Linked DNA regions of Arabidopsis thaliana. The protein of the gene in region 2 interacts with the protein of the main gene of each other region in a pairwise test. Each region holds a gene or a part of one and is shown on either strand. Other genes may lie near its edges.

Region 1 (7,434 bases), 400 kb from region 2:
TGATAATTAAATGAGGTTGAAATATCGTTTTATTGATGTACAAAGTAGAAGTCAATTGGTCTACAAAAAATTTCATTTAACCTTGATGAAGATGCATTTTGAATTTTGGGTAGCTTAAATCAAATTAGTGAGTCATACATACGAAACTGAGTTTCCCTTTTTTTTTTTCCTTTTTTCTTTATATTGTTGGTTATTCTAGAATCCAAGCAACATAATGTTACTTAACTCTATAAAAAAGCTACTTGCACCAAATTTTGTGTGTAGCTGGCTTTGGATCTGCAGTTACGTGTAATATATATAGTGTTTCTTGGTTGGGTGGAAGTGTCAGCTGTATATTACCATTAATTGATTAATTCATTTAGTTTGGTTTTTTTATTTTTATTTTCGGAGTTTCCTTTGCGTATCGAATTAATCAAAATCCAGCTTCTTGCTGATCGGATTCATGCAAAAAATGTTCGGTGGGGATGTGTTTTGCATAATGGCAAAATAAAATTAATGTTAGAAAATAACCAATTTGAAAATTAAATATTTGACCCAACAAAAACAATTTTTTCGTAAATTAATCACCAAAGTATCGATATAATTGGCCACAGACAGAATTGTAATTTGAAGACCATTGACTAGAGCTTTTGTGGTTGGACGGCTTATCTAGGGTCAAAGATAGAATCCTTATAGGAGATGACGATGTGATGTTTTGGGTTTGGTCCAATGTCACGGTTGCTTCATACTATGGTACTTAATGATCCCTTGTCCTAAGGGAAAATACTATTCCACTTGGTACTTATACTTTCAAAGTTAACTTGCTTAACAGATCTATATCGTTGGTTGAATTTAAGACCAACACCATGTGAATTCGCCAATGTTCAAGTATATGTGACCAAAGGAAATCAATAGGTTCAACAGGTAGAACATAACCATTGAACTTGAGTAAACCTTGGTACTTCCAACTTCAAGTTTTATTCATCATGTTAATTAGAATAGCACAACTTCAAATTTTCTTGAAAACCATATATACACATCTCTCATTGCTATAATTAGATACTAAGAGGAGATGTGTCTAAGGCTTTGGCCTCCATTTGAACACATCCTCCTCCACTAAACTCCTTGGTGTCATCATCACTCTTGTAAACATACTTACTCGCTGCCCACACGAAAAGTCCCATGTTCACTATCGAAATCACCACTAGAAATCCATAATAGTAATCAAGCCTCGAATCATTCAAATTATTCCCAATCCAACTCTTCCCTCCACCTTTACTCGTGATCTTATCAATCATTGTCACCAAAAAGCTGTTCAAGAAATTCCCAAGACCGATTCCACTCGTGAAAAACGTTGTTCCAAGGCTCTGCATCTCCTCAGGTGACTGATCATAGAAAAACTCAAGCAAACCAATTGCGTTAAACACATCCCCAATGCCTAGAAGAGAGTACTGAGGGAGCAACCAGAAAATGCTCATAGGCACAACTTGTGTCGGACTAGTTATGTGAAATTCCTTTATCACGCGCATCCTCTTGACCTCCACAGCCGAAGCAATCGCGATTGCAACAATTTGTATCGCAAACCCTACCCCTAGTCTTTGGAGTAAAGTAATCCCTCTAGGGTTTCCGGTTTTCTTGCGCATGAAGGGAACAAAGGATTGGTCGTACATGGGCACAGAGAGAAGCATGGAGAGCGTAACAAAGCTTCCCAATGAAGCCGCGGGGATCTGGAAGTTGGATCCAATTTTTCGGTCCAGCGTGGTCCCTTGTTTGACGAAGAGAGTGTTGACTTGTGCCCACAAGGTGCTTGGGATCAAAGTGACAAGCCATATAAAGATAAGTCCTAGCACACGCTTTGCCACTTCCACTTTTGTCACCGTACATGGCACTCTTGAACTTGTCTTAATGGCCGCTTTATCCAAGAACCTGTAATTGAAATATCCATATTATTTTTACTTTATCTAAATGACTAAATCTATGAATTGAATTGTCATTGAAAATGACTTTGTGACTTTTCTTGTCCATGATATTTTCTAATTCTAGATGAGATGCAATAAACTTATTTTAGCTTTTAAACTGCTATGAAGGAATAGGTCCAATCAGTTCCAAAAACTTGTTTGATACTTCATATGCCAACAAGTAAAGCTACGCACATTTAAAATTGTATCAATTGTGATATCTTCAGTTTTCTATATTAGGTAGTTTTTGTAATGTGAAATGATTTCGGCACGAAACTGTAGTGGGGTGATATTGGAGAACACATTAACGTGTAGAAGGTGAGAACTGGGGACCATCTACTAACAAAATTCTACAGAGCAGGTACACTAGATTAGATATATTAATAAAAAAAAGAAAACAACATTGTATATATATTCCACTTTATAACCCACCACCAGGCACCAGGCACCACACACAAAAGGCATAATTTTGATAGATTTTTTATCCTATGGTTCTATTGGCCTATGATTCTCTGTCAAGGAGTCAAACTACAATCATACTCTCTTGGTTTTTGATTCGCTATATATATAGTGGTGAGGACAAAAAAAGATTATCCGTTTATCTAGAACCAGAATTTGAGATAAGTTTATTATATGAGAAAATAATTAAGAGAAATAAATTCTTTAATGAGATATGCAACACTGACCTGAAGACGGGCGTGTGATGAACTTGATGCTTACCATTGCTTTTGTAATAATGAGAGTCAAGCTCATAAAGCTCCAAGTGGTCATCAGGACACTGAAGCTTTCGGTTTTTGAATGCCGCGATAGGAACTTGAACCAAATCTTTCGCCAAATTGTCTGTTTTGATAACCTTATGCCTGTAAAATGGTGTTCCAATATAGAACACAACGAGAGAAACCAAGAGTCCTACGGTAGGGATGCCATAACCTAAACCCCATCCGAGATTCTCTTGGATGTAGACGAGCCCCAATGTCGCAAACAACGCGCCTAAGAAAGAGCTAAACATCCACCAATTGAAGAATGAAACCTTTTGCTTTTTTTCTTCAATGCTATAACTGTCGAATTGGTCCGCTCCAAATGTGGAAATGTTAGGTTTTGTTCCACCGGCTCCAATAGCTATGGTATAGAGGGATATGTAGAAAAATGTTACTTGTAACGAGGAGGCCTTGTTGCATACCCCGTTTTCGCATGTCGGTCTTAGGGATTTTACTGTTACCGCCATTGTCAAGAGAATCATCCCCTGCAAACAGAATAACGATCTTATAAGGAATCATCTTCGGTATTTTAATCCAAATGTTATTGTACGTTTCAAATGTACGTATAGGAATTGTTTTTTTTTTCCCGTCAAATTGGTTTTTGTTTATAATGTCTCAAATACTCTTTAAAATTGTAAAAATATTATTTTAAAAGAAAATATTTTAAAAAAAAATAAAGAAAATTTTTTCGCTTGGCGGTATAAAATCCTAGCAACTACATACATTTTGAAGTTAGAAGACATTTCATGAATCATGAGTCATGTCTCTCAATCTGACGGAACTAAATGTTCTTCACTTGGATAAACTTGGTTATTAGTCATTACTTGGTTGAGATGTGATCTTTAAAAGTCATAAGTTTTTATTTTTCTCTAGATACTGATAAGATATGTATCTGGTTTGCTAAACTAATAAAATTGAAGTAAAGTGATAATCGTGGGTCCTTTTGAATATGTGTGGAAAACCACGTATCCAAGGATCTAACAGAAATCAAATCTCAAAAAAAAAAAAAAAGGATGGAGTTAGCTTTCGTTAACTGGTGCCTTCAAGTCTGACACGTAGTCGACATTTTGATCAACGTGGTCGACATTAAGCCTGTGGTTATTTTAAATCTAATCATCTCAGACTTATCAGTGCCAAATGATTAGAAACGTACCCAAGTTTTGTAAGAAACACCTAACATCACTTTACTAACACTAATTAATGACTCTTACTTATAGAAACATGGCCTATAAAAACAACTAAACAAGGCCTATATATTTCTTTCTACTTAGATGTCACATCAGTGCTGTCAAACAGCCGTCAAGGTGATGTAAAAAATCCTCTGCTATATAAGAAGGAAAAACAGTCTGCTTAGCATTCATACCAATTTTTCCCCTACATATATGGAAATTTCTGATCCTTCAAGATAATATTCTCATACTATAATATAAATCCACTTTAACAGAAACCACACAGTTGTCCTCAAGTATTATAACCAGTGGAGAAAAATGCAAATAGTTTTTGTGGCAGTGGATCTTCTTGGGATAAATGCTCACGGACCCTATCTGATCGTACGTCCAAAACGCGACAAACACACACATCTATACTTCTTTATCATGACCAACCCAAAATTTTTTGAGTAAATATATATTCATTGATATGAAAAATCTGAAACATAGAATATTTAAGAGAAGATAAAAGTAGAAATTGACGAGTCCATTAAAACTTTAATAAGCTTAAGAAAAAAAAATAGGTCATACATAATGTAGACTCTGCTCTTATTAATTACTGATATCATTTTCGTATAATTATATTTCACCAGTTCAGATTTTTGAACTATTTTTAAATTAATATATTTTGTTTGGTTCATTTCTAAGTTCGATTTCTTCAAAAAGTTGTAAAAGTCTGGTTTAGTTGAGTTTAATTCGTATTTTAACCATAAGAAATAAAAGAGACTGTAGAATTAATACCAGGACGTAGATGAGAGAGGAGGCAGTAAAAGTCCAGAAGCGACCGATGTATGAGTCAGCGATGTAAGCTCCGGCTATGGGAGTGATCCAAACCGCACCGGACCAATTATTCACATTTCTAACCGAAGAGATCGTATCTTCGTGAAGTCTTTTAGTCAAATAATTCACTAAGTTCGACGCTATTCCATAAAACGCCATCCTCTCAAACGCTTCATACCCTTCTCACACACACACACACAAAGACACAAAAGACTACATAAAGATTTATGTTTTTATTTTGTTCAAGTTATCTATAGACGAAAATAGTTATCTGAGGTTTGCGAAAACATATACCGAGGAGGAAAGAGCAAGCTCTCCAACGACCGGTCTTGGAGGCGAGGACGGGACGGCCTTGGAGGTCGACGGTGCCATCTTGTGTGTAAACTTTTGCAGCCTCCATTAATTGTTTTTTCTGTTTATATCAAAATATTTTTTTTTTAAAGAATTGTTTTTTTATGGGATGTATTTGGTAATGTTGTGAGAGTTGAGAGAGGTCAGGACTGTGAAGAGAGAGACTAAACGGAAATAATTTAAGGTTGCATTGTGTTTTTTTTTAATGGGATTTTGAACAAACAAAATGAGAACAAGTCTTAGAGATTTGCTTAGTTTAGCTATTGCCTTACTCTCCTCAAGTATGTGATATATATAAAGCCACCGCTAGATTTTTTGTTTCCTTTTCATTAATGTCATCATCATCACATTGGTCATGTAACCACCACCATCATCATCATCAGTATAAATCCTTGGATGGCATATACAATTTTTTAATTGGTTCATTGTTTATTATAGTTTAAATATGGAAGAAAATACAACAAAAGTCCTATGTATATTTGGCCGAAAATTCTGGTCAGCAACAGGTATCCAATGATAAGAATCACTCAATAAACCTATGCCATCCTCTCAACAACAACAACAAAAACTTAATAAGCCGTTTTGAATTTATCATATTCTTTTGTATTACTTTATGCCGTACTATGCTTGATGAAATAAGCGTTTTTTTGTTTTGTTTTTTTCTGTTAATGATGGTAAGCGTATTCGTATGAAATTGACCGACAATACTAAAAATACTCATAGGAAGAGGCGTATAAAAGTTGTATAAAAAAATATCATAAATATTTCCAACAAAAAATGTCTAAATTGTATATAAATTTTAGTTCTCTACGTTTACAAGTATATATAGTTTCGTCTTTCGTCATATTAAAAAACTCATGGTGTTTTCTACTAGATTTTCAGAATAAAGTGTAATACAGTAAGATTTCACATTACTGCGAGTTAGAGTCTACATTTTCCGAGTTACTTAATTAGGTCTCCTAATTCTATGAGCTACTTAAGCCTCATCACCAGAAATACATCCAACCATTTTAATACTACACGTGCAGTATATCTAAGGAGCACATGGAAAAAATAAATGCACTATTGAATTGGATTTGTACGAAATACAAATAAAGTTTTCGTTATTTTTTTATAGTGAAACTAATAAGAACGGAAAGTTGAATACTATTTCATTCGGGTTTCAAGTTCTTTTTGATACTATGATCTTCAAAATTGAGTCCTATGAATCAAGACAAAATATCCGGATATTCTCGTCATAGAACAACTGTATGTATGAGGATGACCTTTTTCACTTGCAGTAGTTGCCGACCTAGAAATTTATGACAAATCAAGTATCTTGGATCAATAGTAAAATTTCTGAGACATTCCATTCTGTTTCAAGCATGAACAAATGAAGCTTGCAGTGAAAATCAAAAGCGACTGTGGTCCAAAGACGCGTTTGATGCATCCAATAAAATTGGAAGATGGAGAAAAAAAATATAGTGGTCCAAAAAGCTTGCGATATCTTGCCCCAAGATTTAAGCCTTGATGTCCCTTGTCATTACAATTAGAGAAAGGGAAACATGCATGGAACTTAATGCATCCACTTTAATATTGAAGCAATATCTTACCTTTCTGTAATTTCGTAAACTCATCACTAAACTAGAAACATTTTTACATTTACTTCTTTCATATCACAAACATATCATGATATAGTTATTATATATATTCTTTTTAACATGACACTTAATAGGATGTTTATTTTTTACTTTTGGCATAACTCAGATTAAGTTGTTATAGTTTAGTAAATAGTATTAAAACGAGGTATATTAATAATTTCAAATAATTTTAAAATATGTCAAAACTATTTTTCTAGGACACAGAATTAATGGAAATTTTTTCTTTTACATTGGGTCCATTTCGAAATCCCAAAATTGTTTGAAAAAATGACAAAAATGGTTTTGTTATGTGATGAGCTCAGATATTATGGAGCGTGAGATGCTGAGAACAACACGTAACAAACATAACCAAAGAAGGAATGGAAAATAAATATTTCCAACCATTTCTGAGATTTGACTTTACCGTAAAAGACTGCCCAATAAAATGACATTGGGTCCAAAATCCAAATAATGAAACCACGTGTTTTTTTAGATGCAATAACTCAATGGTATCATTGTGTTACAAAGGATTGTCAAACTTATTTCTAACCCAAATGTAGCAAAACAATGTGTGAGATTACGTTACATAAATAAAGTTTGTTAATTGTTAACCATAACACAAACTCTAAAGTTCATAATTCCGGATATTCAACAATAATACTGAATCTTTTCATGATATATTCTGGTTCTGCGGGAATCTTATGCAGTCGCGGTTCGCCGAGACTGTGAACAGTCCCAAGAAGCAAGTCCAGGTACACCCAAAAAGCCTGACGGTTAATTT
Region 2 (3,721 bases):
TTTATTTTATATATTTCAAACATAGAATGTGATTAATATTTCCACACATATAGTACGTAGAAGTTATATGTATGTGATGAGGATCTTCAAAGAACGTTCAAGGACACTTGGATCCACCTTTGGAGTTTTTCATATCACGGTAGCAAGGACATTCATCTTTGTGTCCAAAAGTTCCCGAAGGAACACAATTACACTTCTGGCAACATATATTGCAGTACTTGAGGCATTCTTCATGTTGTCCTGCCTTTGAGCATCTCACATTGCACTTTCCACCGCATGCTGCTAATTCATTTATCACATATATATGTAAAATCTTAGAATTTCAGAAAACTTGTTTCAAAATGATACATGCATGACCTACAATTATTAACTAGATTAAGTAAACACTTACACGAATCAGCACTTGAAAGTACAGAAAATGAAGATGTGAGGAGAAGAGAGATTATGAAGAATTGTACAACCACGAGCTTCATCTTGTTTTCTCGAAAGAGTTTGCTACGTATACAAAATTTAAAGATATGCGAAAACAAAGTAGTGATGGTGAAATGTGGCTACAAAGAGAGGAATCCTTAATAGTGAGAATTTGAAGTGAAATTAATGTTTGTTACTTTAAATAAAGATATCTTTACTTGTTATGTCGGTACTATTTTCAGTTAAAAATATTAACATACAGAAAAAACCATATTCATAAACTTTTTTGACTAAGTAAGTAGTATAATACTAGTATTGAAAGTTTTTTTTGTAACCAGTATTGAAGCATTTTTTAAATTGTAAATTTATTTCTTATAGTGCACATTCATTTCGAATTACATGAACTTACAACAATTTTGAGATATTTTTGAAATCCTGATGAATGATGATTATGACACACAGTTTGTAACACTAACAAATATTCATTTTTATTATTATGTATAACTATTGAAATTCCTTAAGTCACATCTAATATATATTATAGATTAAAAGTATAGCATTAGATGTTGAAAAAAAAAGATTTAACTGTAGTAATAAGCAAGAAGACAGTGAGCCGCCCTTCAAGCACGGCGATGCATGTGGCAGATTGATTCTTAGGAATTGACTCAACTTTTTCGGTCTTCGTTGACTATATATTCAAAAATTGTAAAATTTAACTCAAACAAAAATGTACCTCTTGTTACATGTATTTTGTTCCTCTAAACAGTATGAAAAAAAAACTAAGTTTTCTTTTTAATACGAATGATTGCACCTAAAATTGATAGACGACTAAGTCTATACTGTTACATTAGATGGAAACATGGTTTGAATTATCGCTGCTAGGTGTCCAACTCGAACTTTGTACAGTTGTACTAGGATTCTAATGATTTGCTATGCATATAAAATACATTGTGGCGCAAAAATTACGCTAGTCGCATATTTCTTTTTTGGTTTGTTTGTTTGATTGCATAATTATGATTTGATGTCAAAAGTTGTATAATCAGAATTTGAGAACAATAATATGACAAAGAAAAACATTCTTTTTTCTCAGTTAGATGTAGATACAAGCTTTGTCCAAAAAAAAAAAAAGATATAGATAATAAAAATAATATCAAAGGTTGCCTTCTGGCTACGAAGACTATGAATTTAGACTTACAATTCCTTGGCTAAAAACTGTTTTAAATCTAAATTAATACCATATGTCAATAAAATATATCACGACTTCAATTACTAAGTTAGAACTTAGAAGTGGTGATCGAGTTCCAGCAAGCTCCAGCACGAATTGAAGAATACAATTTGTGCATATATATATTTTACATTATGGTTAAATATTATAATGTAACAAAAATCAACTCTTCGAACTCGAGTCAACGTAAATTTTGGCTATAAATTAGTCAACATTCCATGTCTTGCATTCGAACATCTTAGCCTTAATCATTTTCATCTTACTCTTTAAAGCGTAACGATTAATTAACGGGAAGATTTATATGGCTCCACCACCTCCGGCACCACCGTCCGTTACGTTGAGGACAGTGCTCCTTCTCCTTAGGGTTTTGACCGCGGCTTTCCTCCTCATAACGGTGGTCCTCATCAGCACCAACACCGTCACTCTCGAAATTTCAAGCACGTCTATCAAATTGCCTTTCAACGATGTCTATGCTTATAGGTAAATAAATTATTTACCTTCTCTGTGAAAATTTTGTATCCAATATTTGACTAACTATTTTTACCTATTTTTTGCATATATGTTTGGATTCATCATTCATGAAGATACATGCTGTCCGCTGCCGTCATCGGACTAGTTTACGCCGTTGTACAACTGTTCTTAACAATCTCCCAATTTGCCACCGGAAAAACACATCCTCTTACTTATCAGTTCGATTTCTACGGTGATAAGGTATTTATATCATTTTTGAGGAAATACTATCTTTAAATACATTAAAATTATAAGTCATACTGTATATTGATATATAACAAAATCTGGTTCAAATTTGGACAGGTAATATCATATTTACTTGCAACGGGTTCGGCGGCAGGATTTGGAGTGAGCAAAGATTTGAAAGACACATACATAGCATTAATAGAATTTGATTCGACTGATCCAGTGGATAAGTTCTTTAGTAAAGGATATGCATCGGCCAGTCTTCTTCTCTTCGCATTCGTCTCTCTTGCCGTTTTATCCGTTTTCTCATCCCTTGCTCTTTCCAAACGACCAGTTCCAGTCTCATAAACACACATATGATCATTGTAACCCTACATTATGCTTCCTTCATTTTAATTCACCAATCGTGGAATTTAATAAGATTATACGCTTTTTAAGATTCTTTGGGTCACGTTACCAAATACATATATTACTTTGTTGGCTACATATCTCGCAAGGCTATGTTTGGGAGTACTATTTCTGTGAAAACATATGTAACCAACCTATCTATAAGGTCAAGTCTTCTTATTTCTAATCATCATGCAAAATTATTATTGTGTCGGATCATTAAAAAATGTTATTAAAAAGCCCTAACTTTTCATAATTTGCCAGTAAAACGAATCATTTACGCCTACCAAAAGTCAACATGTATAGTGTCGTTTTGCAACGTTTATGTGTTTTCTTCTTCATCAAAATTGAAGGAAGAAAACAATTTTAATTTCAGAAAGAAAAAAAAAGTAAGGAAGAAAATTCTCAAATTCCTTCACAAACCTTAAACTCTTTTCCATGCAATGTTTGGATGTTACTATTTTCCCGTGTGTGTTTATTGGCAATTTCATAAGCGTTTTAATTAGGCCTACGAAGTCAACGCGTTTGCAGTTACGTGTCATTCTTGTACGAACAATAATTTAAGTATTATACTATTTTTATATCCTGAATATTCACATTTTTTCCAAAAATGTTATTAGTAATTTACATAATTCGTTTATATACGGCTTTTGAGTCCTTCACGATTGCAAATTTGCAATTAAATAATAATAAAAAATAAACAATATGCATTTCTATGATTTTTTTTAAAAATGGTTGACGTTGACATTAATAAAATTCAACTCCTATCGTTATAGTCAATGTAATCATAATCATTATTTAATATTTTTGCTTAGTTAATTCGCGCATTCCGTGTCTTGTAATCTTGTATCATAACAACTAGTATAAAAGCCTAAAAGGGTGCATTTGTTTTTGGATATAAGTTTTTAAAAGGTGCTTAAAATTTACATTTTACATAGTTAATATGGCAGTTCTTTTTCTTCCCTCTAATTATACGTTTATGTAATAAACTGTCAGTGTCAG

The links.
Region 1: the proteins of AT2G39530 (region 2) and AT2G40460 interact in a protein complementation assay, tested with the Arabidopsis thaliana proteins (one large-scale study listed by BioGRID).

The regions. Positions count from the first base shown.
Region 1 is NC_003071.7:16,894,772-16,902,205, reverse strand, and holds AT2G40460 (Major facilitator superfamily protein), read right to left. Parts: upstream 5,300-7,434; 5' UTR 5,084-5,299; coding exon 4,978-5,083; intron 4,863-4,977; coding exon 4,645-4,862; intron 3,181-4,644; coding exon 2,624-3,180; intron 1,906-2,623; coding exon 1,035-1,905; 3' UTR 536-1,034; downstream 1-535.
Region 2 is NC_003071.7:16,497,618-16,501,338, reverse strand, and holds AT2G39530 (Uncharacterized protein family (UPF0497)), read left to right. Parts: upstream 1-1,814; 5' UTR 1,815-1,937; coding exon 1,938-2,116; intron 2,117-2,220; coding exon 2,221-2,347; intron 2,348-2,449; coding exon 2,450-2,680; 3' UTR 2,681-2,975; downstream 2,976-3,721. Other genes in the region: AT2G39540 (Gibberellin-regulated family protein), read right to left, coding at 98-279, 392-473; AT2G39520 (uncharacterized protein), read right to left, coding at 3,718-3,721.